Linked DNA regions of Astyanax mexicanus. The protein of the gene in region 2 binds, or shares a complex with, the protein of the main gene of each other region. Links are inferred from orthologs where the notes say so. Each region holds a gene or a part of one and is shown on either strand. Other genes may lie near its edges.

Region 1 (16,382 bases), on a different chromosome or scaffold from region 2:
TCAGCAACACAAACACTACAGAGGACAGGAGGCTTGGATGATCACCAAAACCTCCTCCACTAATCAATGTATGAATGGAGCATTATTATTACAGAGAACACAATTCCACCACTCAACAGGGCAATGCATGTGAGACTTTTATACTCCTTTCTGACATAAGGCATGATACAAATAGGTTAATGTGTACCGGCTCCACAGAGTACTATTGTATTGTCTATAGGCTACAGGGACTGGACAAGCTGTGTGCACGCATTTGCACCACAGTGTCAACAATGGGTGCAGCTGAATTCATTTTACTAGAAGCAGAGTTTAAACACCTTTTACAAGCTAAAATTAAAGCACTTTTTAAGAACTTTCAAGGCCCATTTTCAAGTTTTTCCTGCACCTTTCAGCTGTGGTAAATTAATGATGACGGTGATATCTCAACACTGTGATTCAGCGATAATCAATACATTGCAAAAGCAAATCTATTCTCCACACTATGCCACTGAGGAAAAAAATAGTTCTAGGTAAGTAAATAGCAAAAATTATGGATTTATTAATGGCAGTTTTACACAATGTAACTATCAATGTTTTTCACCGCATGTTACCCTTTTCATTTGATTGAGCAGTTACTGTAGTATATCAAATTCTGGGATGAGTTGAGACCATTTATACATACATATACTCAAAATTATTGATTTGCTTTTTGTCACACTGCAAGAGATGCAGTGTATTATGTTTACGTAAATGCAAACAGAATTGTTTGGTAATATCAGAAGGAGAAGAAATTAAAGCCTTTTTCCTTTTACGTTCTGCAATTTTTTCTTTAAGCAAACTTATTTAGTCAGATAATTATTTATTGTATAGTAAATGTAGTCAGAATTTCAAGCATTTTCAAGCACTTTCTCTAAAATTTCAACACTTTCCAGGCCTGGAAAACAGACTGTTAAAATCCAAGCATTTTCCAGGATTTCAAGCACCCGCACGAACCCTGTAGAAGGGGTGTCTACAAACATTTGGACACACTGTATTAGAGCATTCAAGTGTTGTTTTTTTTTTGAGCAGGTAGTTGGTGTCTATACAAAACCACAGCTATTATTAGCTCATTAAAAAGTAAGTAAGTCAGGTGGTAATCAAAGTAGGCCAAACCAAAAAGCACCCACACTTGGAAAGTCTGAGCTTTCATTTTTTTTTCCCCCAGGCCCCACGATTGCTAGTGGAAACTTATGACACTTGAAGTGTCTCACTATTTGGCTTTATTTATGTTTATTCCCAGCAATGCAATCTGAAATTTGCACGTCCCAAAAACTTTTAACTTTCTATGTCATTCGCTATAACAATTTCCACTTCCTGTGAACTCCAGTCGATGCTGAATGTATACTGGTATTGTAGGTGGGTGTACTTAAACTAGATCAGAAAGAAAAGGTCAACTGTCAGAGTCATACAGTTGTTTACAGTTACAGTTGCTTACAGTGTCTTTTATAGTTTCAAAAGAAATGCTGGGTTTAGATTCATGTGTTCAGATCAGGAATTTAACTTAAGGGCACTGAATGAATTGTATCTAAATAAGCACAGTCCTGTGGTTTACCAGTTGTCTTCAGAACCATATAGGTAAACAATAGCGCCATCACATGGTGATAAGAGTGTTATGATAAAAAAAAAATCATCATTAAGAAAGCATTACAGTGTTTTCATCTGATTTACTCTGAATTAACACATTACAAGTCCCCTAAAATGTTAATTTTTACTTTAAAGTTAAATTTTAAACATTTTATACAGATTTATTTAATGTGGGGTGAGGTTTTGCCATGTCCACAGTGCTGCCTGATTAAGTTGAATAACTCATTAAGATTTTTAATAATTTAGACATTTAAATAATGAAAACAGCTTTTTTTGTAAAAAGAAAATCAAGCATTTAAACATTTTCAACAATGCCCTGTCATCTTGGAACAACCACACCACTTTAAGAAAGTACGGTTGTACTGTTTCCGTTTTTAAGGGACTGAAGACTCCTGCTGCACGTTCAACAATTAATAATATGAGTTTTATTTTTTTATTAGCTTAATTAAACCATAACCTCTCCATCCTGTCATGATGGGGTGGAAAAATGCATGCAACTATATAATGAAAATAAAAAGTGATTAAGCTGGAAAAATATAATTTTTCATTAGTCATATAACTATGATAAATAGTCAAAACATTTATTAAAGTGTATTACTTATCAGTGTTGGCTTGTTACTGCAGGTAAAAATTCCAGCCTGTCACTGAATAAGTGATCAACAATAACTCCTTAACCACTCAGCCAAAGCTAATTTATATTAGGTAAATGTAATTTAATTAAATTTAATAGTTTTAGAGCCACAATGAAATGAACAGTTCTGAGAAAGATCATTAAGAGAGGTTTGTTTAGACATCTTAAGTTCTGGAATGAAACTGCAATGCTAAAATAGCTATAAAAATAGCAATAGCTAAAACAATTGAACTGTATGACCTGTTGAAACCTCTTAATGTGCTTAGTATCTTGATTAAATCCAGATAAGAATTTATCAAATTACACTTAAGTTTGGTAAACAAATGACAGAATATGCTCATTTGTTTGTTGCACTGCAATTATTACTGGTGTTTAGATTGTACTCAGAGGTGTTTTGGTTGTAGAATGTGTCTTGGCCTGACTGATGGCTCATTTCGGCTCTGACAAGCTTCTTTTTTCTTATTGGTATATTCTTGGCATAAAAAAAAAAATAACGTTAATATACTGCAGATCTTTAACAGTTAAACTATTTTCGTGGATGGACAGTCACTACTATTTATAAAAAGGCCCTGAAAATGTAAATGCTTGTGTGAAATGTTAATTAAATGAAACAAGGCTGTTTAAAATTTAATTAAAGCACATTTCTTTTAAAATAATATAATACAGTTTATTTGCAAGAACATGTTTGAGTTGGATAAAAAAAACAACAAAAAAAAACACAATACAGCCCTGACACAAAACTTGCCTTTATTCTATGCTTGGGTATTTCTGATGCAACTACACCCTCAATCATCTCTTGCAGATCTGAAAGACAAGTTTGTGTCAATGAAAACACTAATTTTTGTAACACCACATTCCTTTACCCTTCCTTATATTTCAAAATCTACAGAATAAATTGGACAAGTGAGAGGAATTTAAAAAAAATCATATTTACAACAAGCATCAAACTAACAACATTCAACTCAAACTGCTCCACCCGTATTTTAATTCCAAATATGAATCTGTAATAAAACAAGTAACAGGTGGAAAACATTTTGATTAATTGTTGTTTTCGTCTTTGCTCATGGAATTTGTGATAGTTGACATAAAAAAAACCCAATGTAGTCCAGTCAAGGAAGGGTTCTTCCAGTCTGTTGATAGTTGAATAGTTCTCCACTCTGTAAGAACTGTAAAGGCTTAAGCAAGGATATGTATAAGGTGGGAATCAGTGGCTCTTCTTGGAGGACCCAAACCCTGAGAATCCCATTACAGCAGCCATTTCATCATCCTCTTCAAAATTCAGGTCTTCCTCTGCTTTTCTCTTCTTTTCTTTTAGCTTCTCTTTTTTATATGCCTTTGCTTTTTCCTCCTGAATAAATAAATCAAAATATTAACCAAATGTACAAAATACATTTATTGTAGGCAAAGCAAAACATGTTTATAAATCAAATTCTGTACCTCTTCTCGTAATTCCTTCAATCTTTCCTCAAAATCATACTCCTTCTGTTTTTCCTCCATTTTTTTCTTATTTACTTCAAAGCGTTTTTTAACCTGATCCAATGAGGACCGTTCCACTCGCATCGACATTCCAAGGTTTCTCTGGTCTATATTAGTGAGACAAAGTGAGAAAAATGTTTTTATATAATATATACAATTTTTATTTTTACATTTTTCTGAAACAGCAAATCAAAGAAATAAAAAGAAACTCACGTTTCTTGCCATTGATATGATCCAAAAAGTTGATGGAATCTTTCACAACACAATCGCAAACATTGCAGTAGTATCTACATAAAAAAGTATGAAAACACCAATAAGACCAAATATTTCTGTTTAAAATATATTTGCTTCCAGAAAACTAAATTCTACAAAATGAACAAAAAATAAAGATATAATGGCAACATCAGCAGCAGCAGCATCTCCTGACAGTCCCTCACCATGTCATATATAATGTAGAATTATTGTTTAAATTGTCGATTTGGGACAGTTCTGTTTATGCAATATAGTTAAATGTTACCAAATTTACCTTATTCTTCCTAAGGAATAAAGGCCAGCACTTTCCATTTTTTCTCTCTTAGTAAAAATTGACTGATTCTGGATGTTTAATGCAAATTCTTTAAAAGTAGTCTTATTCACATTCAGTTGGAATCGCGGGAATTGCATTAGATACTCACCCGCCCATCTCAGCCTGAGGTGTAGTTTTAGTGATGACAATTGTCTTCCCCAGTTTAGACTCCAGATCAACCTTGTAGTCTCTGTGCCTGAGGAGCTCCCGCTTGACTGGTGGCATAGGTTTGCCTGTAAAAAAACGTTCATAGAGTTTTGTGATGCACAATAACAGAATCATAACAATACTGGCAAATAATTATTTATATAATTATAAATCTGTGCATCAGATTTAATACAATAAAACAAGAGCAAAATTCTTAATTTTGGTATGATATAATTACGATATTGATATGAACAGTATAAAAGCCACCAGCGTTGGTGTACATAATCATGCACTGAGAGACCTGGGTGACATGGCAAATTGTTATATCTGTATTGAAAGACAATCCTATGATATACAGTATTCATCATGTATTGACTCATGGGTAAAAAGCACCAGGAGTGGTAAATTCTTAAAAAATTCTACTCAAATACTCCTTAATACATAGAAAATTACTTTAGACCTACATTAATTATTATAATTGTTGCTGCACATAACATAATTTAAAGGATTTTTTACACTCTCTGTAATGAAATTTACAGTTAGGAAAGGCATATTTAAGTAGTGATGAATCTTCTACTGGCATATTTATCCCCCAGGACTCACAAGGCTGAATCTTTTTTTCCCCGAATCAATCGGTTAATTTCATTCAAACTCCCAAAAGACCCACTTTTGCCATCACTACTGCAAAGTAAACTAGACAGGTTCTAAGGTTAAACAGAGAGGATTTCAATTTAATTTTAATATTTTATTTAGAAACCTGTGGGCTAGCTAAAACACAGCATCTCTTTGGTTTTATAAGGTACATTATAAGATATGAGATAAACAAGGTGGCAAGTAGGGTTAGTGTCTACACATATGAAGTATGCGTAATTGGCATTCCAGAATAAAAACAGCAAGTCCAGTGAGAGAACAATGTAAGTAACTGTACAAGTAGTGCTGGGCGATATGGGAAAAATCATTATCACAATATGAATTTTTTTATATCACAATAACGATATATATTATGATATACTACATTTAAGTATGTTTTCAGTTATTCTTCGAAAAAACTTTATTTCAAAGTGACATTAAAACAAACTTTCACAAACGAGAATTCCTACCTTTTATTGCAGCAATATATATGTATCGAATGAAAACAGATGAGGTAGATGCAGTAGCTAATTCTTTAAAAAGAACAATGCGTCTCCATTGTTCAGCTCTCATGAGTTTAAAAACGTAAAGCATGTCGCAAACCGGTGTCTGTGCATTTCCGTCAAATAACGTAAAGCAGCGTTGTGTCACAAAACCACATTATGAAGCTTTTTTGTGAAGATTACTTTATCACTTATATAAACAGAGTTTATGCAAAGTGACCACGCTAATACATTTCATCGTAGCCTACTTTATATATTTGCATGAATAATTGATGAAATTACTGTAGAAACGATAGAGACGATAGAAGGTAGACACTTTTTTATCGTCCCCACTTTTGGTAAAGTGGCTAAGTGGAACAGCAAAGCGCAATGTGCAGACCTGTACAGACCAGTGAACATACTATCTGGTGCTTACCACTTAGTATCTAGTGCTCACCACACACCAAGTAACACAGCACAGCGCAATGTAGCAGTCTGTGAAGCCATGCACAGACCAGTGAACATACTTCCTAGTGCTCACCATTTTTTATGTAAAGAAAATATGGTATATATATATATATATATATATATATATATATATATATATATATATATATATATATATATATACCATGTCATATCAGGATTTCCAAACAATAGGCAGTGAAAGTGTGAATATAGTACAGTACAGTAGTGCACTATATAAACTATATGAATGTACTCACCATCTTTTTTCTCTCTTTCCTCCGTGAGACGCTTCTGTGCCAGCTGTTCATACTCATCTTTGTCCCACTTGCGCCTAAAATCGTTCTTAGACTACAAAAAAAAAAAGAGATTTGGAGATTATTCGCTAATTAGTTAGGGTAGCCACGGCTAGCTGGGTATCCATAAACAATAAAACACCGTGACAATAACCTGTTGTCTAACATGCCAGCTATATAACGCCTACAACATATATGGTTTAGATATTCAGTTATTGTCAGCAGCTCCTTTAACAGCATTACAGATCTATAACTGTTGTTGGATAAATCATTAAATTTTCACTGAACACTGACAAATGTTTAGTTAGCTTAGCTAGCTAGCTACCTAAGCTAATGGCCACAGGAGCGTGTTTTAGCACGGTAACGTTGTAGTTTATAGTTTATTCAGCCGGCTATGTTACAGTCTATCAATTACAGCATTTACTGAATACATTAAAACAGATATAACCTTGCAGACATTAATATAACTAATAAAAAAAAAAAAACAATATAACTCACCCCACTGCCTGACGCCATGTTGCTGACCAACGAGATCTTCTTCCTGTCTGGAGAAAAACAACAAGGCAAAATAAAAGCTCTGTGGGAACTGTGTGATTAAAGTGAAGGTGAGTTCTGTGTTAATTTGTCTCATTTATTTCAATCTACACAACTTCTCACACACGGTTTGCTGAAAAAGGTAAAATAAATAAATACAATAAAATAAATAAGAATACTATAAACAAGTAACAGGCAAACACCCACCCATTCAGAAAGAACATACAAATCAAATAAGTACAGATGTACAGGAGAATGAAAAACGTGGCTGCATGTTTCCAATTAGTATGCAAAAAGAACACAATATATACAACATAAAATAAAATGTAAAAAAAATGTTAGTTTTTTTCATAGGCATTGACATTTTTTGTGGACAATATACCATCCAAGAAATGATTGTGATAAAGGATAAAAGCAACACTTTTATAGCCTTGTAAGACTATGATTGCAATTAATAATAGTTTGGGAAATAAATTATTTTTTTCTTCACCTACTGCAGTCCACACTGTGTGTATGGAGCCTTAAATACAGTTCAATGCTATATATGTGAACAAACATACAAATAAACATGCCTATTTTCAATATTGTCATTTCAAAAAATTATATTCTTTAAATATGTCAGTAATTATCAAATACGATTTCCATTTAAGTTATGGATATGTGTTACTATTTTGTGCACCGTTTATCTATTTAAAATAAACAACATCCTTACAAAAAAATGCACCAATACAAATTCAGTTCAGGTTATTATAATGGGAATACAAGATACTACTAAACACTGCTACTTAAAGGAGCAGTTTCTTTTGACTTCACAATAGCATGATAAAACAATGTAAGTGGAATACATAATTGGATAAAATATTGTTTAGAAAAACAAAACGTGAATACAACAACATTTGTTTGTGATCAATTATTACAATTAGTACAGACGACTACTTGATGATATGTATAATATGTATAATCCTTCATGTGTATATTAAGTTAAACATTAACAGATATTAATTTTCAGAGCTTCTGCTGGCTATGCTGTCTTTAATACTGTTATGTTAGTAATATTAACCCAGATTGAGCCAGTGCGTTTTTCCAAGAAACATTGGCTTTTAACATATTACCTATTTAATGTGAACAATATTTAGTGTAATCAAATTTGGAATTTTGGTTTTCAAGTAAAATATGGTTAATTTATTATAATTAACTTTTTTAGTACAACTATATTGTGCCTCTATTTTGATGAAAAAAAAAAGTGTTTACTTTAATTTATTTTTCCTTTTGTGGGCTCTAGTCAATATTGTATATGATCCAAACACCGTGCTTGTGCCTGTATTTTTTTTTTTTTTTAACTTTACTTTAAAAGGGGTCAATTTGACCGGCTACGTAACACGTGGGTTAATTGTGTAGCCCCGCCCCTTATCCACCTGATGCTGATTTAAAGGTCTTTCAAACTATGCGGCATACTAGGTGGCAGAGTCAGCATGACAGCACGGATTGAAACTGCACTTCATAGCCCTTTGGAGTCAAGGTCCAGTAGACTTACTTACTTCTGTGTGTTGTTGCTGAGTGTAGAACACTTTGGGATTTAATCTTAATCTGGTTTCCTTTTGTTTAATTTAATTTTAGGGGCCTGTCTCTTCCCTTGTGGCCAAACATTCCAGAGTTACCTCATGATTTGAGGGTCAGACCACCTCTTGAGCCAGGCAGTCCAGAGCCATGGCTTCTCCCAGGTTGCAGCTCGGTGTATGACAGCCTGGTCAGGTAAGAAGGTAAAGATTTAAGCCGTTTGTTTTAAAGAACAAATGAGCACCAAGCACTTTTGTTTTGAACGGACATTGTAATGCTTTGTATTTTGTGGTTAATTATAAAATCTGTTTGTTTTTCTGTATTGCTGTGCATTTGAATAGCTCTAGAACCCCAAGGCCGTCCTCTGTAAGTGAAGAAAGGAATACCACCTCCTCCATCATGTCCAAGCCTCGCAGGTCTTGACTTTATTTATCAGCTCTATAATTAAGAATATTGTGAATTATGTCTTGATTATGCATGGCCTCAGTGCTAATTTTTATTTTTTTTTTCCCTCTTTACAACTCTAAGTAGATCCTCTATTCTTGAGAGGTGCATTCTCAAGATATCTACAGCTAATGTGGCTGTTGGGACAGAGGATCTAGATGATATCAAGAGGTCAGGTGCAGACTTTGAAATGTGCAATTTGTTAGGGTGACTAATATTGTGAAGCCTGTTCTAGGATGTGGATTTCTCTGTGGTTATCAAAGCTAACAAACCTTCTTAGGTCACCGTCAAGACTCCGATGGTGTACTCAAAATATGGACCCATCTCATTTTGAGACCAACGAGTCGGTTTTGAAGCGCAGACAGAAGCAAATTCAGTATGGAAAGAACACCTGTGGCTACCAGAACTATCTGAAGCACGTTCCAAAGTAAGAACAGACCTACAGACCTACATACCTTTTTACTAGCCTTAAGATAATTAGGCTTGTTTTTTTACTTATTACTAGCTTTTTTTTTCTCTGTGCTATAACTTTTAGGCGCCTTCGCATCCCTGGGTTTCACCCTTCCACTCCAAACAAATACCGCAAGTACAGCCGACGGTCTTGGGACATGCAAGTCAGGCTTTGGCGGAGAGCGCTACATGCTTGGGACCCACCTTTGACTTCCCAAGGGAACAATGAAGGACAAGACCCAGTTGATCAACTGTATGTGTAGGACTGGTATTGTATTGTGTGATGTTAAATTTAGATCATAAACATTCTGCAGATGTAGTCTTATGTTTGAAGACTTGTGCTGTGTTCCATTTACCTCAGCTGTTTGAATTGAGAATTACTTGACACCAGATTGGAGCATTCCAGTATGCCATAAAATATTTTAGATAATGTTTCACTATTTAAAAAAAAAAAAAAAAAAAAGTCAGCTATAGCCTTTGGAGTTTACTGCAACTGGTTTGATTTATCATTAACATTGTCCCAGGTTGGCATTGTGCAGTATTTAATTTGAGTACCATGAAATCATGTCTGTAGATAGATGGAATACGGACAGTACAGCAACTGATTTTATGAGACGCTAATGTATAGACTTGGTGATAAACTATTTAATACGACGCTTTTATTACTCTTGACTTGCATTGCAGCCATCTTGGATTATGAATTCTTGGTTAGTGGGGTTCTCTGAACACTTCTAATAAATAAATCTGATCTGTGAACATTTCCTAATTGGATCTAGCTAATTCTTCTTTGGTTCAAATGGAATACAGCATAAGACCTTTTTAAGGAGTTTTAAGGTTAACCTGTTGCATGCTAATTCTCTTAGGCAGGACCTGCTTGAGAAAATGAATACTGAGCTGGGAGAAGAAAAGGAAAGGACGTTGGATGTATCTGACTCAAGTGCTTCTGTACTTTCTCAACCTACTGAAGGCTTAGGCAATGGCTTCTGGAAGCCTCTTGCTCCTCAAGTAAGTAGAACAGAAAAGTTGATTTATTGTGTTTGTATGAATAGGGTGTCCTGATGCATGTTCTTATTTACCTACAGGCTGATTTAACAGGCCAGCAAAGCCAGACTTCTGGACTGGGCTATTCCTTTAATAGTCATCTAACTGCTGAGGAGAATGTCCTTGGATGGCTGCGATTTCTCTTGGAGACTGACCATGCACGCAGCGAAGTTGCCCCGGAGAGTGAACAGCCACTTTGGCGATTTTACTGATTGTACCATGATGTCTTGTGTAGACCATGTGTAAAGCTTGTTTTCCAGGAATAAATAATGACCCAGGAATGGCGTCTAAGATATGATCAAACATGTACTTGGATCTTAATGTTGAACACTGAGCACGCTGATGGTAGTTTTGCATCAAAACCCCTGTAATTCAGATCACTTAACTGTTGAAACCACTAAAATTTGCACTTTTCTTTTTTTCACTACTTGCTCGTGTTTTGTTCCTTCACTGGATATTCCCTCACTAGTATAGACACTTCTTTTCCTAAAGGCACTTTTTTTGCTGTTTTGATTTTGTGAGTTTTCCTCGTCTCCCTGTTTCACTGTAGTCAGGTTGTTTGGGGGAAGATTGTTAGCCTTGTTTTGAAATTTGAGTATTTTTGTATGACTTTAAAAGTAGTGGAAAGCAAAACCAATAAAGATATGTTAAATGTTTGCCTTGGTAATTCATAAAGTCAAGAGGGCCAAGGGGTGGGGGAGCAACCATTGGTACACAAAAGTTTAAAAGGTGAAAAACTAGCAGTAGTGTCCTTCAGTGTTTTCAGTTTGACAGACGATAGTCAAATTAACTTTATTTAGCACTTTCTACAAGCCCTTTTTTTCCCTTTTAATCTATTTACATTGTACTAAAATTAATTTTCAATGGGCATATATACGGCTGAAACAGGGACCCTGGTGCATCCTAAATGTATCAAAATTAACATTTTAACATAACATATATAGCCATTATTTTTTTTAGAAAAGTGTGTTAATATAGGACCCTGTGGCACGGCCTAAGCTTTTGTCCTTAATGGCATTTATTTCCCACTGGACTGTGTTTTTGCAGTGTAGATTCAAAGCCCCAACCACTGTCAAACATTTAAATATAAATCAATAAAAATGTCATCAATGTTACAGTTTAACCCCTTCACAGGCCAGGATTTTTGCCAATTGTCTGCCTGACATTACAACACTAAATATTGAGGATTTCTATTCAAGCGTCACATGAAAAACGTTTATGTTTGATAAGGAACATTATTGAAAAACATAATTGTAATTGAAAATATTTAAGTAAATCTGCTAATGTCAAAATATAATAAATAAAATCATAAAGTTGTCTCTTTCCTGAACTTTATTTTAAATTCAATATTTTACTAAAAATGCAAATCGAACAGTTTGTCCTTCAAACCTTTAGTTTCATTATGGTTGTCTAGTTTGTACATCTATTTTTAAATCTGCAGATAATAAGATTTATTTATTACACTTATAAATGAAGCCTGTAGGCATGTTAAGGGGTTAAACACTAACCAATGAAAATTAGGCTGTGTTAAATAAAAGATTGTTTAAAGGTTGTCTTTTCCCATCAAAAAGCTAATGTAATGCAACGAAAAAAAATATATTTTAACGTTAAATCAATGTTCTCTCTCTTGCTTGTTATCAGTGTACTGTCTGTGGTGGTGGTGCTGCTGCTGCTACCTGATAGAGGAACACTAGAGGGCGTGGACGGGGGTCTGCATGGTGTGTTTCGGCGGGGGCGGGGGGGCTGGAGGCTCTGCAGATGGAAGCCACTGGATTTCTACGGGCGTTCTTATTTTCCTAGTGGGAGACGATGGGAAGGCGGTGAAATGTCGAATTTATAGCAGATATTCGTGTTGTGTTAGATCGCTCCTCACACTCCGCTCGCGGGGGTGGTTCGCGTCGGCGTGCGGCGGGTCTTCAACGTTGATTTAACGGTATGCTGGTGTTAGGTGTAGAGAACGGGGATTGACAATAGCTAACGTTACGCCATGGGTACCCTGGACGGGTAGCCCGCTAGTTCGCTAGCTAGCTGGCTAGCGTAGCTAGTTGTTGGTCTGAATTGTTTGATCTTGTGCAGCTAGGCAATGGTAGACCAACGTTAGCTGGCTAGCAACTTGCTAGGTTAGCTAGTTAGCTAACAGCTAGGCTCCACGGGCCCTGTGTGTGAGACGGCTGTGCTGGTCTCCGTCGGCGGCGAGGTAAGTCAGAATCGTTAAATGTCCTCCATGTCTTCAGCTGTATATGTATATGTATGTGTGTTATTGTGTGGCTAAAATATCAATCAATTATTATCAGAATTACACACGCCAGGCTGTTCAATCAGCCCTATTAAGATAATCGATCGTGTGGTAGATAAGTTAGATATTTATTTATCGTGCACGGTGTTTTTGCATTGTAAAATGTATTGCTTTGCATTATTGGCCTCAACTGGTTAAGCTAAGCTACGCTAGTCTATCCAAGCCGTCGCTGTATGTCCTGATTTAGCTAGGGTTGCAGGCGTTAGTGGGCCTGTGCTGCTTTCTAGGTAGCCAAGCACCCAGCCAACATAACGTTAGCTAATAATGCTCATCACGGGCTAGGTTATGGCTAGGATGTCTTTCTCGGCTAGCTGGATAGCCTTCCATTGATATGATGCTATTTTGAGGAACACCAGTTCATCCATCGTCAGTAAACCTAGGGTAGCTAGCTAGCTAGCTAACTAAATAGACACAGTATAGCTAACCTAACTAGCTTGATAATTAGTGTTGTCTATTTTGATAAGCTAGCTAGCTATGTATCGTTAACGTTAGCTAACGCTAGCTATATTTATCCTCATACGCAGACACTCATTAAGAATCTACGGTAGCTAGCGTTAGCTATTTAGCTAGCTTCAGTTGTGTGCTCTGTGACGGACCGAGCGACTAGCTTGGTGTTCCGTCGTTTTGTGCCATCCCGTTAAAACGTGCTAGTTAATTAATTACTGTTGTTATATATTTTTTATCTAACTAGCTAGCTATTTTAAAGCTTAAGTTCTAAAAAACGCTAACCTGGTTAGTTATTTGTATTATCTGGCTTATATGGCGAAAGCATCGTATCAGAATATCAAAAATGCTCCTAGATAACGTTATCTTATCATTAGGATTTTTGGGTGGCCCAATTCACTAGCCAACCTAACCTAACGCTATATCAGGGGAGCTTACGCTAATTGATATGATAGTTAAATTGTGTTTTTGTATTTTTTAATCGTCATTTCTACGTTTGTAACACTTGAGCCAATAATATTAGTAAGCTGCAATTGTTAAATGCCGACGAGAAAAAAAGGAATTCACATGAAAAACACGTGAAAACATTAAAAATATGAAGGAGGGGGGGGGGGCACAAATCGACAGAACACCGGCCGGTGTTCTGTCGATTTGTGTTACCCGTCAATTTGTGCTACGCAGCGTCTCTGCGCATGCGCTGAACAACGGCACTTAAATGTTAACGTTTTTTTTTATATATACTGATTGTGTTTTCCGCGGGCGCATTATATAATCTGAGTTTATTGTTGTACGGTTATTATTTGCTTTAATGTTACGAAAGTGTAAATGGCATTTCAAGTAAAAATAAATAAATAAAAATACAAAATACCTCACTTGGTTTATATTTATCTTTCCTTATCTTTACTGCTGTAGGCCAGTCAGATATCCTGCCTGCTGTTTTATTTAGGTAGCTTTTTCTATATTTATATATTTAACGAGGTAGCACAAATCGACAAAACACTGGACGGCCAGAGGGACTTGGTTGGATTTGTGGTCTGCTACTATTTAGCAGCTTAACTAACGCATAATGTTATTTTCCAGTAGGAATTCTTAGCTTTTTAGCTATGTCTAGTCATTTGCATATATAATATATAAGAATTTGGCTGCTGCTCTTTTGCCATTTAGCTAACTAAAACCAGAACACAGGTTTGCCCCATACTCTTAAAAAAAAAAAAAACACATAACCTGGCTAACAGATGTAGCTGGCTAGCTACTAAAGCCTGGGGTAGTAAATAATGTTTTAAAGCCAGATTTTTTTAAACTAAATGTCTGTAGAGAGCCTGGTGTTCATGCCATACAAGATAAATGTCATGCAGGATGCTATTTTACTTTTGATGTCACTTTTTATTTATTTATTTTTAATATTATTATTGTATTTTTTTTTATATACACTTATCTTCACTACTGTTTTATAACTGTCCCTTATAAGCAGCAGGAGTCCTGTATCTAGATATGCAGGCTGATGGTTTGCTCATGTTCTATGTAAATTAATGATATAAATAAGCCTAAGGATAAGAATTGTGCATAAGCCAAATGCCTTTAAAACGCTAACCAAGACGTTTCTTTCTATTGTGTCCTCCTCAGGTAATGAAGTCATCATGTTGGCCAGAGCTGCTCTGCCTGGGGAGCCTGTGCTACCTGTAATTCCCTCGGCTGGTTGACTGCTTCACTTTAGACCTTCCCGCCTGCCAAGCCATGGTTATGCTAGATGTTGAGCCGATCCCTAGTCTTGACGTTAACCTCAGCCACTGGACATCGCTCTGGTAAAGCTTGGTTTAGTATTTACTGTTTTTTGATTTCTTTAATCCAAAAGTACACAGAATTCATTCAAACCAATCCTGTTCACTCATGTCTCTGCAATGTCTCTCTTTCAGCCACTGCATGATCCTCACAGCCTCTCTGAAAACTGCTGGCCCACAGTTCAGATGGATTGATGCCTGGTAAGTATTCAGGTATCCAATTATGTGTCTAGAAGCAAGATTTGAAGACTGTAGCAAAATATTAATAAAAAACTTTCAGTAGTCCAGTAAAATCAATGTCATATTATACATACATACAGTTTAGGAAAATCCAAACCTACAAAGAATGGAGTAGTCATTCTTATCATAGGAACACTTCAACTGTGAGAGACAGAAAAAAATATAATGTATAATGTATGTATAATATAAGGGGAAAAATGTATTTTAACCCTTTGGAATTTCAGATCCTCCTCCAAGTCAAGAGTATTAACAAATATTATGTGCTTAAAAAGATACAATAATAACCATAAAAAAACTTTATAGTGCTAGTTGGAAAAGTATGGAAGTTCTTGTATTAATTACCTAAAAAAAGCTAATTAGAATCAAGTAATACACTCTTGCTAGTTTGGGGATGTGGACTTAAGCTTATTTGACTGTTTAAATCCATGATATGCCAAAAGACCTTTGGAGGATCTAAAACAGCTACAAGATGATTTCAAAGATCTTTAGAAATTCACCAGTCTACAATGAGGCAAATAATCTACGAATAGAGACAATTTGGGACCGTGGGTACTTTGCCAAGACGTAAGTGCCCAGTTAAAATCACCCCAAGAGCACAAAATACTTATCAATGAGGTAAAGAAACAACACTGAAAGACAGTTTTTAAAGGCATTGTTAGTACAGGCCAACGTCTGTGTTCTTGAGTCTACAATTTGTAAAACTTTGAACAAGGAGGGTGCCTGTGATTTAAATCTAAAGAATTCTGCTCTGACTTCTGGGATGTGCATATGGGGTCTTCTGCTTCTGCCTGTGGAGTCGCTTGCCTGTTTACACAGACAATTTTAGCCAAACACCAGTGGTCACAATCATTACCACTTATTGTTCTGTCCACTGTGGATGGTAATGCCTTCTGTGAAATGTTTCTGGTACACATGTAACACTGTGGATTGAGGAATTTTAAATGCCCGCACAGCTTCTACACAATGTCTCATCTGTTTGCCACCTGACATTAGGCCTCGCTTGCTTGCCATGAGCATGCTGGCCAGTGTTCAACCTCACGCAAAAGGTAACTTACACAGGTGTGGGTGTTCCGAAACCATTCCCTGAGGTAACACTTCAGTGATTGGCTTACATTCTGCTATACCATGACTTGTTGGTGTATATTTAAGGTGCATAAAATGCATGTGAAGTAGAAATCTTCACTCTAAAAACTTCAGTGCTATATTTTGTATTGCCAGAAGTATTTTTGTTGTTAATCGATTGTTTGTGTATAATATTATTATTCTCATGTTTCACAGAGAGCAGTTATTGGCAGCTCTGCCCT
Region 2 (16,344 bases):
TTATGGTTATGCTACAAAAAGGACACTACAAAAAAACTAAATTACAAAAAATGTTTAATAAATGACGTACTGTAAATATGGTTCAAAAGTAAAATAAGTTTACCCTGGTTGTCAAAATTATTCTATGAACAGTGACATGGATTTTAAATACTTAGTGGGTGTGTGGATTGCAGGCGTATGTATACTGAGTATACACAGCGGCCCCAGTCATATTTTACTATCAGAGAATTAAAACCATCTGTCTTACACAAAAAAAGATAATTATATGGACCTAGCCATGGACCTAGCAACATACAGATATATACCTGAACCAGTCAATTAGTGATAGGGTACACCTGTAATGGGAGTTACAAGAACTACAGCACTTACTGGATGTAGGTTGAATGTGGCAGTCAGGCTGGCTTTATAGTGCTATGAGAAAAGAACAATTAAAAGGTATTATTTTGTATTCATTGTGAGTTCATTCATTATAATGTTGTGTTCATTATGAAACACAGCCTCATTTATCACAAAAAAATAAACTTTAAAGGAGACACATGAATCACCTGTGATACACGTGCATTCTTAATGCTGATTGGTGTGTGTTGAACGCCTTTAAGGCCAAAGAGCTCCACCACATCCATAGGTTCCTGTGTAAAATGTAAAAAGAAGAATCATAAAGACAAGAAATAGAAGCTCGTCTGTTGAATCACAGTTTGTGTTGATCACCCTCTAGGCCTTAATGTGTGGTCAGAGGACAACCCATGGGACGATGTACATTAAGTTGGTAGTCTATTATCATTCCATCCGTGACTGAGGTGTTTCAAAAACAAAAACCCTGTCTGATTCACTAAAGACTCATCTTTTCAAAGAGTTCCTAGACTAGGCGTCTAAACATTATGTAAGCTTGATGTATCTCTTGACCGTAGTTTCTACATACTAGCTATGGATATGGATAAGTAATCAACTGAGCATCTTTGTAAGTCATTGTAGATAAGCGTGTCTACTATATACCTAAATATAAATAGAAATAGTGCTGTGGCTGGACTGCAAGAAAAATGTGAAAGTGGGTACCTCATAATATCCATCAATGAAAACAGTGATCATCTGTGGGTTCACACCATGAGAGGACAGGAGTGAGCGCAGCATTCTGCAGACACACATACAGAGAGTGCTACTTCTTGATCAGCCTTTTTACACCAACAACGGGGGAATGAGACAAACATTTTCTCACCTGTAGAGATAGTTGGGTCTGTTTCCAGCAATGACAGCAACTGGAACATTGTAGACATTATTGTTGGGAAGCTAGACAAAAGACAATATACAAAAGGTAATTATAATACAGATCAAAACTTGATTGCTAATTAGGTGTTGACTTTATCCCATGCTCTATTTTAACATCTGAATATTTTTAAATGACAGAAGCAAACAGAATAGTTGCTTTTCACATATTTAAAATTAATAAACACATTACTCATATTATATATTGTGAAAGTTCCGGTACTTGTATTTAAACTTACTGGTTCTGGGTTGAACTCTATGGGTGCTGGATCCTTGCAGCTGCAGATGCTACCGTAGCCTTCCACTTTACTGCAAAACAGCTTCCTCCTACGGTTCAACTCCGTCTCAGCCCAGTGGCACTCTGCTTCTGCACAACGACCAACAGAAATGTTCTGCTTGAATAAAACTCTAGAGAGCTGAGCATTGTCTTATTAGTTATGTTTAACCAGCTGTTGTAGCGCCAATGTTCTAATTATCACATCGTGAACTAACCAGGAACTTATTTTTTTTATCTTTTCATTAAAAAATCTTCACTGTCGTGCAAATGAAAAGAAATTTCAAAAACAGTAACTTGATAGGAGAGAAAAAAACCTTACTAACTTTAAATGACAGTCAAATGTAAAATTATTATATTACATTATTTTGGAGGATTTTTATTGGTCCTGTAATCATGCATTTTTTAAGACTTTATAGAATTTAAGTGATATGTCAAAAGTCATGGATGTTACCTCAGAGAAAGGATAGCTTAGTGGGAGATAAGATTTGTTTTAGATTTTTTTTTTAATTTACATTTTATAAGTTGATCCAGTGTTACATGTGTACCAAGAACACTTAATGAAAGGCATTACCATCCGTAGTGGACAGTACAGTGCGTGGTAATGATCATGATTGGTGGCATCTGGCTAGAATTGTTTATGTAAACTGACAAGGGAGACTTTGGCTTTAATTGGACATGGCAAAAGTCGTGGCACATGATACTATTCTTGTCCTGTGACATTTGGCATGTCAGCATATGTTGAAAAGTTATAAAATGTCAGATTCAATGTTTTGGCATGACAGTGACAAAAATTACAGGCACAATAAGCAGCACCAGACAATAAATAAAACCATTAGTTTCTTCAGGAAATTCTCTACCTTCAGCAGCAGTGAGCTGAACCTCAGTTTTCAGCAGTACAGGATCTCCCCATGTAGAGAGTGCAGGTGACTTTGAGTGCTTCTCCCCATATACCTGGCCTAGACACACGCACATCAATAAAAAAAAAAAATACACATTTAACATTTATTTGTTAAATAAAAATATAAAAAATATTTGTACATGTTATCTGGCATTCTAACTCCTTACAAACAGAATCAAGTAATTCAAGACTCTGACCTCCTTTCTTCACAACCAGTGCCCACATGTCCCTCCAACTGAGAGTTGCTGCCACCTGGCTGCCCAGCCCCTTTAACAGATTCTTGGCAGCATCCTTCAGATGAAAGGTTCCCTCATCCTGAGCAGCACAACATATAAACACAGCAACAAAACGTCAGTAAAATAGACATTGTTACATTTGTGTACGTTACATTAAAAAGTGCTGAAGTAAGAGATTGTGATTTAACCTTGATGGTGAAAATGAGGACTCTACCACGAGTGACCATGTTGAGGAAGAGGATCATGGCTTCATCCTCATGCGGAGAGTAGGTGTCAAATACTCTCTTCGCCATTACGTGACCCTGTTTAAACAAGACAGAATGTCATAGCATAAAATCTCTTTAAACAGATTTTTAGAACACTAGCTAAAACTCCACTGACAAACGTTCTAACAATTTGATGATGCAAAGGAAATTGTAATTTACTAAAGTCATTTAACTGAAGTCTAGAGGATAAACTGTGTCAATATGTCTCAATACCAGTGGTGATGCAGAAATATGTAAAGATTTTTTTTCTGCAAAAAAGGATCATTTTTTTTTTTTTTTAAGAAAACACAACTAAACTGAACACATGAATACTTTACATGCATTTCTATTATATTATAAACAATAAAGAGTGTGTAGTTTGGAACACAAATAGGTACATGGAATACTCATTTGACTAATTTGTTTTGGTTATAGTGTAAGCTGTATTTTTTCCACATATCACTTGCTGCTCCTTTTATTTTTTAACATATGTTTTCATTTGTATCAGACATGTGCAGAGCACTTGTATAAAAACAATAATTTTGCACACAGATGTTTGACATTTATTTGCCATATAAATCTCTAGACTTCACAGCTCTACTTACAGTGGCCTGATTTAGCACTATGACATGTATGCCTCTTCCCTGCTCCCGCATCTCATCCTCCAATACCTACAGAAAACAAATAAAACATAAATGAATTACTTTTACACAGTACACCAGTTCAATACAAAAACATAGAGACATTAAATCACTAGATGTGACCCTTAAAAGACTACCAAAGTGATTTACGACAATCAATCTGTTGACTAATGATGCAAAATTTGACATTTCAGTTGTAACTTGAACAAATTGACACACATTAAAACAACATGAGACTTGTTTAGAGGAGGGGGTATAAAATGACTGCAGAGGGGATTCAAATACTGTGTATCACTCACTGTGGTACCATCAACTGCCACATACACCTTGGAGCGACTGGAGTAGACTTCAATGTCTAACACCTTGCGCCCACTGGCTGGTCTTCGTGGGGTCTCCATGTTGGCCAAGTTATCATCTTAGACACAGAGAAACAGAACATATTATAAGTCTTCTTGGTGATTTGAATTTTATTTGTTTTGCACATGAAACGCATGTTAGGGGAAAACAAGCTCTAACTGACCCTAAAAGACCAGTAGAACCTGCCACTACTGGTCACTAGTATCTTACCATAGTCTCGTGCAGCATCTTCGTCCTCACTAGCAGCTCTCCTTGTGTCAAGTATAAGTTTTATGTTCACAAGTACTGTAACCAACAAGAACAACACTGCACCAGCCTGTGAAAACAAACAAACAAAAAAAATCATACATCATAATATATTCTGCTGCCCTGGACTCAATAAGGCTAAGCATAATCAATGGCTTTATGTTACCTTACAGAGCTCAAATAAGACAAAAACCCAGAAGGTAACATTAGCAGTTAAAAATGTGTTCACACTGTACATTCAGACAACAAGCCATTTATGTTTCACTTATTACATAGCAGTGCTAGGCAACATACTGTATATTGTAAAAATTACTATAATGTACTATCTCAGCCACTGTGCAAGTTAATATCTGTATGTGCAATGCCAAAAAATAATGTGCATGGGTAGTTTGTGTGGAAAGATTTTGGCCTTTGGAAGGATGATACTTTAAAGAGTACAGTCTTGTGCAAAATATGCCAAAAAATGGAATTAAAGAAGTCACATGACAACTTTATTTCACTACCTCAAACAACACAATCCAGTGAAGTTTGCTGCCATTAGTCAAATACCTTTTTCGTATTACAATAAATACTGATCTTTTAACATTAATTATCATGTAGAATTATATCATATTTCACTATTTTAGGACATGCATAACAGAATATTTTGACCCCTTTCAACTGAGGAACACCCCTGCAATTAATTTAAAATAAACGATCTTAAGCTCAAAAGCTGTCCCAATGTTGTGTGTTTCTTCAGTAATCCCATGAATGGTCAACTGTCCTATCTATGATTTTTTTAGAGTCTGTCTAAAATGTGTATACTCGCCTGGCAGAGTCTTCGGATGGCTCTTTTGTTGGAAAGTTTGTATTTCCATGTTAGGTAGAAACTACGCTGCTGTCTAGGGATGAAGGGCTTGGCCCGTGGGTTGGGCGTCCAGGTGTCCATCCCTTACAACTGCTGCCTGCCTGTACACACAATCAAAAAGACATAAAGCACTGAAGTCATTTAGATGTGGAGACCAGAGACTGTGCAGTACATGTGAACTAAAGGACTGGAGATAATTTAGAGGCAGGGTTTATTAGTAATGGAAAGAAGGTGTCTTATTACAGTGTACAGCTTTTTCATGTAACTTTACTTTACACCAGTCATTTACATTTTCCTGTCCACACCCCAGACAATACTTGTCAATTTAAATAAAATTGCAAACGTAGATAACACACACACACACACACACAGGTAAAGTTAAACACGCTCACCTGCAGCACATGTTATATTACCTGCTGAGCTATAGGACACTGTTTACTGTTCACTCAGCTCTCAGCTAACCCAGCCAAACAGCCTCCCTCCCTCCAGTAACTCAGCATGCTCTTATTTATGGCTGTGTTTAAGGTGTAAAAACGCGATATTCACGGCAGAATAAACCAACTTACCGTTACTGGTGTTTATGTGTCGATGCCCCCCATATTTACAGAGTTATTTTACATTGTTCCGCTAAAGGTTAGCAGTGTTTAGCCGGTTCTCTGCATGTGAAGACTCTGTCCATCAGAGTGAAGGCACCAACTGTGCCATTACTAATGGCTGCCGCATGAGCTATTTTTCAAAATAAAAGTCTTACCACAAAAAGATAATACAGCTCTGAAAAAATAAAGAGGCCACTTAAAAATGATGAGTTTCTTTGATTTTACCAAATTGAAAACCTCTGCAATATAATCAAGATGAAGTTGCATGATCACATCCATAAAAACCAAGCAGAACTGCTTGAATTTTTTGCACCAAGAGTGGCAAAGTTATTCAAAAGCAGTGTGTAAGACTGGTGGAGGAGCACATGCCAAGATGCATACAAACTGTGAATAAAAAACAGGGTTATTTCGCCAAATGTTTATTTCTTAACTCTTAAAACGTTAAAATATGAACTTGTTTTCCTTGCATTATTTGACATCTAAAAGCTCTGAATCTTTTAGTTATTTCAGCCATTTCTCATTTTCCGCAAATAAATGCTCTGAATGACAATATTTTATTTGGAATTTGTGGACAATTCTGTCTGTAGTTTATGAAATAAAATAACAATGTTCATTTTACTCAAATATATACCTATAAATAGCAACATCAGAGAAGCTGACATAGAAACTGAAGTGGTGTCTTAATTTTTTCGAGAGCTGTATATAAAGTACTTTGACAGACATGAGTCATTGATCAACTGGTAGATAAAATATTAAAAACATTGTTTAGGCATGAGACCTTTATCTTATTCTTAGCAGCAGTTTTGCAAAATATCTAAACCCAATCAATTAATAAATAAAGAAAAAAAGAAAGTAAGTAACACAACAATACCTCGTAAAATTCATGTATATGGCAAACAAAATCGACCCCCCAAAATCTATAAAATAAAGATTATGCGTATTTTGTCTATACTAGTGCATCTGAAAAAAAAGAAATATCTTTGAAAAGTTACTTTATTTCAGTAATTCCCTTAAAAATGTGAAACTCATATGTATTACACACAGAGCGATCTATTCTAAGCGTTTCTTACAGTCAAGATCATTGCTGCAGAAAATTAGAGTATTATATAAGACTAATTGGTACTTTTGGCAGTGTGGGTAGTGGGCCAAATCCTGCTGGAAAATGAAATCTGCATCTTCAGAAAGGTTGGAAGAATAAAGTTCTGTAAGATTTACCAGAAAAACACTGCACTGACTTCAGACTTGATATAACACAGTGGACCAACACCAGAAGATTACATTGCTCAGTTATTTGCTGGCAGAACCAATCAGAACCTCTATTTCACGGAGGAGGCCATAGATTTAACTAAATATGGAAACCATCGAGATTTATAGTTTTAAATGTTTTATTTATATACTTGGTCAAACTTTATTTTCCTAGAAGTCTTCCAGGTGCATTTATAGAATGAGTTGGATCCCTTTGTGCCGAGTGTCTGCACTTAAAACAGCCAACATACCAAATAACATTTCACCCAGCACTCAAACCTGTACATATTAAAGCAGATTGCACATCTTATAATGTCTGTTGGACCATATTAAAATAGATGGCACAACAAACAGCAACACTTGTGCTGTCTCGTTAGCATGTGACAAATTGTGTGGCTGATATTTTAAGATTTGCCACTTAGCAAAAAAGCTCAACCCTTCTTCTCTGGTGCTCTTTAGAGATGTTAGCAAGCATGTTTAACATCCTGTGTGAACATAAAATACAACCCCTTAACACGGACAATATTCATGAATACATTTATTACCATTAAAGTATTGCTCTGACAAAGGCAGTATATGGTTTAAAGCTTTACATTAGCCAAGTAGTTGCCTTCAAATCATAAAATGATTGTATTGTGTTAGCCACTTCTGACAAATCATGCTAATGATCTTTAGTGACCCACTTTTTAAAACTTTCCAAATTTTACCTTTCTCAAGTTTGTAAAACTCTGATCTACAAGGTACAAATTCCAAAACTCATCACATTTTACAAATGAAGTAAGGGATTATGTTCCAATCACGATCATTAAGAAAACATTCCTCAAAAGTGATGCATTTCACAATAAAACAGATGTTATCAAAATAACTTGGGCTGCAATTTTTAGTCAAATTACTTCATGGTAAATGTGTTGTTAAAATGTATTTATCATGATGCAAAAAAGGAGACCCCAGTCACGTGGTCAGGCTAATACCTCACAGACTGACCCATTTGAGCCTTATTTGCACAGTATTTAGCACTTGATTTTATTTACAAAAAAATGGACATGTACCGTCACTGTAACAACAGTTTATTTGAGTAAAATCTTTTCATAATTTACACGTAGATAAACTGTTTATTACAAGAGGGCTGCTGAAACACTTTAATAATGAACTACAATTGATGGGATGAAAAATATTTCCACTCAAAATGACTTAAAAGAATAAACAGCATCAAAAAACTTGTGTGACTCCAATCAGTTGAGAAAAAGATTCACATCATATTTTTTTTTATATACACATTACCATACAAGCATTACATAAAAAAAAATCTACAAAAAAATGTAGAAAAATCACTCGTTTCCTCTTCGACTCCTCTTGTGACTCTTCTTTGAGCGGCTGTTAAAGAGACAAACATTCAAACATAAGGACTTGACGAATAAACAAATACAATCTATTTTCATATCTATATTGATCAGGAATACATTTACAGAATTATTTCTAATAGAATTCAATTACCTTTCTGGAGACTTTGAATGACTGCGATGTCTGTGGCTTCTGTGATGACCTAAATTAAACCAAGCAGACATAATTTATTAAATAATAAAAAGATTAATATTATTTCCTTACTTTAAAATAACCTGAATCAGGTTCACAACTGAAAACTTACAAGCAGCTAATAAGAGCATAAATATGAGCTGATGTGTTGTACCTGGAGATTTGGAGCGGTGCCTCCTGTCTCTGGACCGACTGCGGTGTCTGCGGGGACTCTTGCTGCGGTGGCGATCCCGTTCTCGCTCACGTCTGGGTGATGGGCTGCAAACACGAACAGAATAACAATCACTTAAATCTCAGTATTAAAAGAATGAATGATGTATAATGTTCTGTGGTTTGCTATAGTTTAGTTCAGATGATTAACATGCATGCAGAAGTAAGAATGAGAAAGACAGATTTGCACTGTATGTGTACCTTCGTCTCTTGGGGGATCTGCTTCGTCTGTTTCAGGGTTTAAAAAAAGGGAAAAAAAAAAGAAAAAGAAAAGAACAATAATAAATTGTATGGTAGCACTTCAATTTTCATATAGACTAGTGGCAGCCACTCAACACACACACACACCTTTCAAAAGCATTCAATAAATACACCATCAGATTGAAATAATTCCAGTATAACCATGTATTCCTTTATATCCATTAACATAACACAGCATGTTGATCATTTCAGGGGGGGTTACTCTTTTAGGGATGCTTATTTAGCTAGTTTGCTGGCACTTTCTTAATCTTCACTTAACACCAACCTTCTGGGCGATCGGCTTCGTCTGTAGCGAGGAGAGGGAGATCTGCGAGGTCTATCCATATCTCTGTAACTCCGTCTGTGTGGCTCTGGTGTCTGTACTCTTTCCGGCTATAAATTAAAAAAAAATTGAAGTCAAAAAAATTACCAAACTTTTTTTTGCCCCTCTGTTAATAATATTATTGTGATAAGTATTGTTAGAGTAATACCTTCTCCTCTTCTTCGTCTTCTTCTTCACTGGACTCCACCTCATCCAGGTCTTCTTCAAGGGCACTGATACGCGGATCTAAAAGCTCAGCTTCCTCCAGGACTTGCCTCTTCTATAAAAGATGAACTCAATTTCAGTACAACAAAGGGTAACAGATTTAAACCCAAATTTGCATAATTGCTCACATATAACAATATTCTAAATTATATACAAAAAGAAAACAAACCTGGAGCCTAGGGAGGATGACATCACACACTCGCTCGGCATGAAGCAGCTCGTCTATAAACTCGTCCACATGCATTATCTCAAACTCTGGGAAGACAGAGTAAGATAAAGTACGTTAGAAGGTTTTCTTGGTTTACAAGGAATTACTATATATAGTTACTCTCATTTATGAACCAATGCGGTATTAGTTTCAATGTGCTGCTTACCTCCATTTCGGTTCTGTGTTTTGATTTTTCTGTAGTCATTGTACAACGGTTCCAAATACTTATAACAGTCCACTGAGGTGCCAGTCAGGCGCATATACGTTGCTCCAAGCAAGCGGACATATCTGAACAAAACATTAAAAATTACATTCAGCACTTGCATGCATAGACTATGATATTCTGTTTTCTAATGATAGTAGCTGTATTTATTTCCTAATAGACACAAAACCCAATAGTTTAAACAATAAACATTCTGCTTAAACCAAATGCATTTGTGCATGATGGGCATTAATTTAATCACATGTGTCTGTTTTATTTTCTTCTATTCATTTTTACCTAAATGTAACACACCCCACTCAGCCAACCAAATGCTGAAATTAGTTTTAAAACATAAAAAGTCTGGTAGGACCGCTTGTGAAGTCATTACAGTTTCCAATAAAGAAATTGTAAAGATATTCTTTATGTGCAAAAACCAGGAAGCTCAAATAATACTAGGAACAACCTAACACATAAGGAAAAAACTCAGGAGACAGGTCAGTGATAGATAAAATATAAATATAGGTGAGATATGCATACTTAAAATCTTCGTTCTTGATGAATTCTACAATGATGTCCTTCTCAGGCTGAATCTGGAGCATCTTCAGCGTCAGACATAAGAAAGGTGTGGGTTTGATGTTTCCGCCATACACTCCTCCGACAAACTTCAGTTCCATTGCTTTGTCCACAACAAGCTCAGCTTAAAGTTGATATATTCAGTGACCATGAGGAACAAAAAGATTAGAGTCCAGAGTCAGAACAAATTCAAAGCTCAATATACATAAAATAATAAACTACTGATGCTCTAAACGTCAACAATTTAACAATACCTACATCCAAAATAGAACAGATATGTAGCATGTCTAATATCCATTAAAAATTACATTATGCAGGTTAGCTAGCTAGCAACATACTGGCTTATCATTTACAGCTCTGAAAAGAATTAAGAGACCACTTCAGTTTCTGAATCAGTTTCTCTGATTTAGCTATGTATAGGTATATGTTTGAGTAAAATGAACATTGTTTTTTATTTTATAAGCTATAGACACCATCTCCCAAATTTCAAATAAAAATATTGTCATTTAGAGCATTTATTTGCAGAAAATGAGAAATGGCTGAAATAAAAAGATGCAGAGCTTTCAAACATCTTCAAGAATCTTCGCATGTTCTCCTCCACCAGTCGTACACACTGCTTTTGGATAACTTTAAGCCTCCTGGTGCAAAACTTTAAGCAGTTCAGCTTGGTTTGATGGCTTGTGATCATCCATCTTTCTCTTGATTATATTTCAGAGGTTTTCAGTTTGGTAAAATTAAAGAAACTCGTCGTTTTTAAGCGGTCTCTTGTTTTTTTCAGAGCTGGATTGCTAGCGTTAACTAAACTAGCTCCCTATGTATCTAACTAATGCTTTAAGTTACTTAAAATGCTAACCTAGTAAACCTAATTAGCAAAATAGCTCAAAGTACTAGTGAGATACATAGAGCTAATTTAGCTAACATGGCTAACGCTAGCTATATGTTATTAGCATGTCAGCTTTCTTGCGTTAGTGCGCGCATTTATGAATACAAAAGAAAGATGTCCAGGGTTTAACGTTAGTTAATTAAGGTTCACTGCCAAATCTACCCAAGAGAACAGATAATTAATACAGTAGCGAGCTGCAGGTAGATAACCCTAAACACAGCTTAGGAAGCTAAGCTAACCTAGCTGGCTACACAGCTAACTAGCACAACACCAGACCGGCTAACTAACGCTGTTTTCTCCTCACCTGTGAGACCGAAACACTCTTCCTTCCAGTATTTGGACTCGTAGATTCGAGTGCGGATAATTTTCTCCACCAGGTACTGGGGGTTAGTTCCGTGTATACTGTTCGCATCTTTCACTGTTCTGTTCGCCATTTCCACCAGAGAACTGATGAATGAAACGCGCTCACGCCGGAACACAACCCACTGAACTTCCTCTAAAGCGCCCTGCTGCTGGACTGATAGTGGGGAGTACTGACACCTACAGCACGGAGTGTGGAGTAAACCCACGGCTAAATGTGGATGTTAAATGAGGGAATTACTTTAGTTTCTTTCTTTCTCTTCACACGCTAACAGATTGTGTTTCAAATGACTAAAATGGTCTCAATATTTGCTGTTAACTGTGTATGATAAGTACTATATATCCTCTACCTCAGTAACTACCCTGAAAGCATACATACTAAGACCTTTTTGTAAAGGTCTGAACATCTTAAATGCATCAACCTCATTTGAATTGATTATAAATTGGTTTTATTAATATGATATGCTCCAGAGACCGATCGCACCCCACATACGTCGTTGAATAATCTGTTTTACGCAGGAAATTTGGCATGTTAATTTGCTAGGTCACAGATACGTCGATTTCACGTCTGCTTTATTCATGAAATTTGTTATGTTAATTTCCCAATTCAGATGTGATCTGAAAAAGTCCCCTTGTAAAGTGCAGAAATATATAGCATGCTATGACATATAGGTTTGATGCTGTAAAATAACCATATATGATTCCATATGGACAAGTCAGTCTTAGAAAAACTTTGAATTTGTAAATAAACCCTTTAAAAATATCTAGCGCAGGAGTTCTTTAGCAGTGTTAGTGAAATATTCTCAAATGTTCTTACAATACCTTAAACAGCACAGATCCATTAATTAGATTAACATAAATAATATACATATATAAATTAATAATCGACACCTGAGAAGTTGTCAGGTTTGTTTTCCTTATAGATGTTGGGATTTTAGTGTGAGCACTCCCCTGGGTGTTTGCCCACAGCGCTAATTTTTATACACAAAATGTACTTTTACGCACGGGATGCGTTTCTACGCACGGGATAGGCGCGCACTTTTACGCACGGGATGCGTTTTTACGCACGCGATGCGTTTTTACGCACGGAATGCGCGTTTACGCACGGCGCGCGCTTTTACGCCCGGGATGCGTTTTTACGCACGGCGGACACTTTTACGCACGGCGGGCACATTTACGTGTCTGGTATGTTTTTGCGCATCTCTTTGTGTTGTAATGTGTTGCTACATGCTTCCCCAGTAACAAGCAGAACTGCTAATGTGGAGAGTCTTACATAAGCTTTTTAAATGCTACGATGTATCAGTTTTATATAAATTACATTGTATTTATAGACAAACTATTTTAGTTAATTATTTCTATCCATAATCACTGTCAAAACAAAAAACGTACAAAACAGTGACTTTACATAGGGAGAAACTCCCTTCTTAATCTTTAATAAAATTCATTGTAAAAAAAACATTTATATTGGTCCATTTATAGTAAAATAAAAATGAAATAATGCAATAACTACTTTCAGGTTCAGGTATTAAAAGTTATATATTGTTTTTAGAGTTTTGGAAACGAGGGATTTAAGCACGTAAACAAAGTGATAAAAAAAGTAGCTACAACCAAACTCCTGTGCTATAATGTTGCATCATCTTGGAGATCTTGGATCTTGGAGCACTTGAAGATACCCAAAAGGACCCTTGGAGATGCCCAAAGGGACATTTTGAGAAGCCCAAAATGGCACTTGGAGCTGCCCAAAAGGACACTTGAAGATGCCCAAAGGGACACCTGGAGATTCCCAAAATGGCACTTGGAGATACCCAAAAGGACACTTGGAGATACTCAAAGGCACACTTGGAGATGGCCAAAGGGACATTTGGAGATGCCCAAAATGACACTTGGAGACATCCAAAAGGACACTTGGAGATGTCCAAAGGGACACTTGGAGATGCCCAAAGGAACACTTGGAGATGCCCAAAAAGACACTTGGAGATGCTCAATGGGACACTTGGAGATCCCCAAAATGGCACTTGGAGATACCCAAAAGGACACTTGGAGACACCCAAAAGGACACTTGGAGATGCCCAAAGGGACACTTGGAGATGCCCAAAATGATAATTGGAGATGCCAAAAATGACACTTGCAGATGCCCAAAGGGACACCTGGAGATGCCCAAAAGGACACTTGGAGATGCCCAAAGGGAGACCTGGAGATGGCCAAAATGACACTTGAAGATGCCCAAAGGGACACTTGGAGATGCTCAAAATGACATTTGAAGATTCCCAAAATGGTACTTGGAGATACCCAAAAGGACACTTGGAGATACTCAAAGGCACACTTGGAGATGGCCAAAGGGACATTTGGAGATGCCCAAAATGACACTTGGAGATGCCCAAAATGGCACTTGGAGATGTCCAAAATGGCACTTGGAGACATCCAAAAGGACACTTGGAGATGTCCAAAGGGACACTTGGAGATGCCCAAAGGGACACTTGGAGATGCCCAAAAAGACACTTGGAGATGCTCAATGGGACACTTGGAGATGCCCAAAAGGACACCTGTAGATGCCCAAAATGACACTTGGAGATACCGAAAAGGACACTTGGAGATGACCAAAGGGACACCTGAAGATGCCCAAAAGGACACTCAGAGATGCCCGAAAGGACACTTGGAGATGCCCAAAGGCACACTTGGAGATGCCCAAAGGGACATTTGGAGATGCTCAAAATGGCACTTGGAGATGCTCAAAATGGCACTTGGAGATACCCAAAAGGACACTTGGAGACACCCAAAAGGACACTTGGAGATGCCCAAAGGGACACTTGGAGATGCCCAAAATGATAATTGGAGATGCCAAAAATGACACTTGCAGATGCCCAAAGGGACACCTGGAGATGCCCAAAAGGACACTTGGAGATGCCCAAAGGGAGACCTGGAGATGGCCAAAATGACACTTGAAGATGCCCAAAATGACACTTGAAGATTCCCAAAATGGTACTTGGAGATACCCAAAAGGACACTTGGAGATACTCAAAGGCACACTTGGAGATGGTCAAAGGGACATTTGGAGATACCCAAAATGACACTTGGAGACGTCCAAAAGGACACTTGGAGATGTCCAAAGGGACACTTGGAGATGCCCAAAAGGACACTTGGAGATGCCCAAAAAGACACTTGGAGATGCTCAATGGGACACTTGGAGATGCCCAAAATGACACCTGTAGATGCCCAAAATGACACTCAGAGATGCCCGAAAGGACACTTGGAGATGCCCAAAAGGACACTTGGAGATGCCCAAAAGGACACTTGGAGATGCCCAAAGGCACACTTGGAGATACCCAAAAGGACACTTGGAGATGCCCAAAATGGCACTTGGAGATGATCAAAAAGACACTTGGAGATGCTCAAGGGGACACTTGGAGATGCCAAAAAGGACACCTGTAGATGCCCAAAACGGCACTTGGAGACACCAAAAAGGACACTTGGAGATGACCAAAGGGACACCTGAAGATGCTCAAGAGGACACTCAGAGATGCCCGAAAGGACACTTGGAGATGCCCAAAAGGACACTTGGAGATGCCCAAGATGGCACTTGGAGATGCCCAAAGGTACATTTGAAGATGCTCAAAATGACACTTGGAGATGCCCAAAGGGACACTCGGAGATGCCCAAAAGGACACTTGGAGATGCCCAAAAGGACACTTGGAGATGCCCAAAATGGCACTTGGAGATGCCCAAAAGAACACTTGGAGATGCTCAAAAGGACACTTGGAGATGCCCTAAGTGACACTTGGTGATGCCCAAAAAGACACTTGGAGATGCCCAAAAGGACAGTTGGAGATGCTCAAAATGGCACTTGGAGATGCCCAAAAGGACAGTTGGAGATGCTCAAAATGGCACTTGGAGATGCCCAAAAGGACACTTGGATACATATATTTGCAAGGATGTACTAGACTCAGTTTAGTTTAGTTTAGTTTAGTTTAGTTACTGTTACAATGCCCCTCTCAGGCTGGTACCTTGCTTTTCTTGCCTATAACCAGTCGGAAGTAAACACGATTTTTGTTTTGATGTGCATCAGAGATGTCCAGACTGACATTTTAGATCATCTGCATCTAAAAAAAGATTTAATATTGAAAGGAGAGAGAGCTCATACATTTTCATACATCTTTTTTCCAGATGTAGAAACTTTAAATAAACACAAAAATACTAAATAAACCTTCGTCTAACCCATATTAAAATATAAAAAAACAGGTGGATGTTTATGATACTCACGACCAAACACGTCGACCCCGCAGAAAAAAAGAATATCCGCTGGGTTGTATCTGAAACGTATGACATGTTGCCTAGTTAGGCAGGAAAGAACCCATCCTTGTCTGAATCGATGTTTAGTAATTTAGCCTTCTATTTTGTTTAGCATTAAGGTTAACAGCTAATGAGAACACATATAAACGATCATATATTGTATGGCAGGAAGCGCTATTTTTCTTTTTTGTTTCGGTTACAGATTCACCGCTTTCTACGGCTTTAAGTGAGAAGGTTTAGGCAGTAGGACAGCAAGTCAGCATGTAGTTATGACACGCACGGCCTACGCCATCGGGTCAGTAGGCGTGGATTCATTCCACTGGTCCAATGATATGTCGGTATGCAAATAGTCCTCATCTTTCGCGGGAAAAGTTGTGTGTCGTGTCTGAAGGCAACAGGGGGTTGGGGGAGACAGAGCGAGCACGGATCAGTGTTTTAAAGTTTTAACGTTAT

What was found.
Region 1: prpf38a (region 2) and zmat2 share a complex: the UniProt entries of both Homo sapiens proteins name them as parts of the spliceosome B complex. The link is inferred for Astyanax mexicanus from reciprocal best matches to the Homo sapiens genes PRPF38A and ZMAT2.

What each region holds. Positions count from the first base shown.
Region 1 is NC_064424.1:10,755,140-10,771,521, forward strand, and holds zmat2 (zinc finger matrin-type protein 2), read right to left. Parts: upstream 6,895-16,382; 5' UTR 6,811-6,894; coding exon 6,793-6,810; intron 6,350-6,792; coding exon 6,259-6,349; intron 4,508-6,258; coding exon 4,384-4,507; intron 3,997-4,383; coding exon 3,923-3,996; intron 3,817-3,922; coding exon 3,671-3,816; intron 3,582-3,670; coding exon 3,438-3,581; 3' UTR 2,849-3,437; downstream 1-2,848. Other genes in the region: slbp2 (stem-loop binding protein 2), read left to right, coding at 8,301-8,347, 8,446-8,580, 8,727-8,801, 8,914-9,000, 9,110-9,256, 9,365-9,532, 10,143-10,284, 10,362-10,532; protein FAM53C, read left to right, coding at 15,033-15,039, 16,357-16,382. UniProt on the Homo sapiens protein: Involved in pre-mRNA splicing as a component of the spliceosome.
Region 2 is NC_064412.1:22,006,587-22,022,930, reverse strand, and holds prpf38a (pre-mRNA-splicing factor 38A), read right to left. Parts: upstream 11,736-16,344; 5' UTR 11,679-11,735; coding exon 11,549-11,678; intron 10,486-11,548; coding exon 10,326-10,485; intron 9,875-10,325; coding exon 9,753-9,874; intron 9,634-9,752; coding exon 9,548-9,633; intron 9,434-9,547; coding exon 9,323-9,433; intron 9,225-9,322; coding exon 9,118-9,224; intron 8,820-9,117; coding exon 8,793-8,819; intron 8,640-8,792; coding exon 8,536-8,639; intron 8,392-8,535; coding exon 8,343-8,391; intron 8,223-8,342; coding exon 8,177-8,222; 3' UTR 7,900-8,176; downstream 1-7,899. Other genes in the region: pomgnt1 (protein O-linked-mannose beta-1,2-N-acetylglucosaminyltransferase 1), read right to left, coding at 370-411, 546-629, 1,054-1,129, 1,214-1,284, 1,500-1,627, 2,395-2,493, 2,633-2,750, 2,860-2,973 and 4 more. UniProt on the Homo sapiens protein: Involved in pre-mRNA splicing as a component of the spliceosome.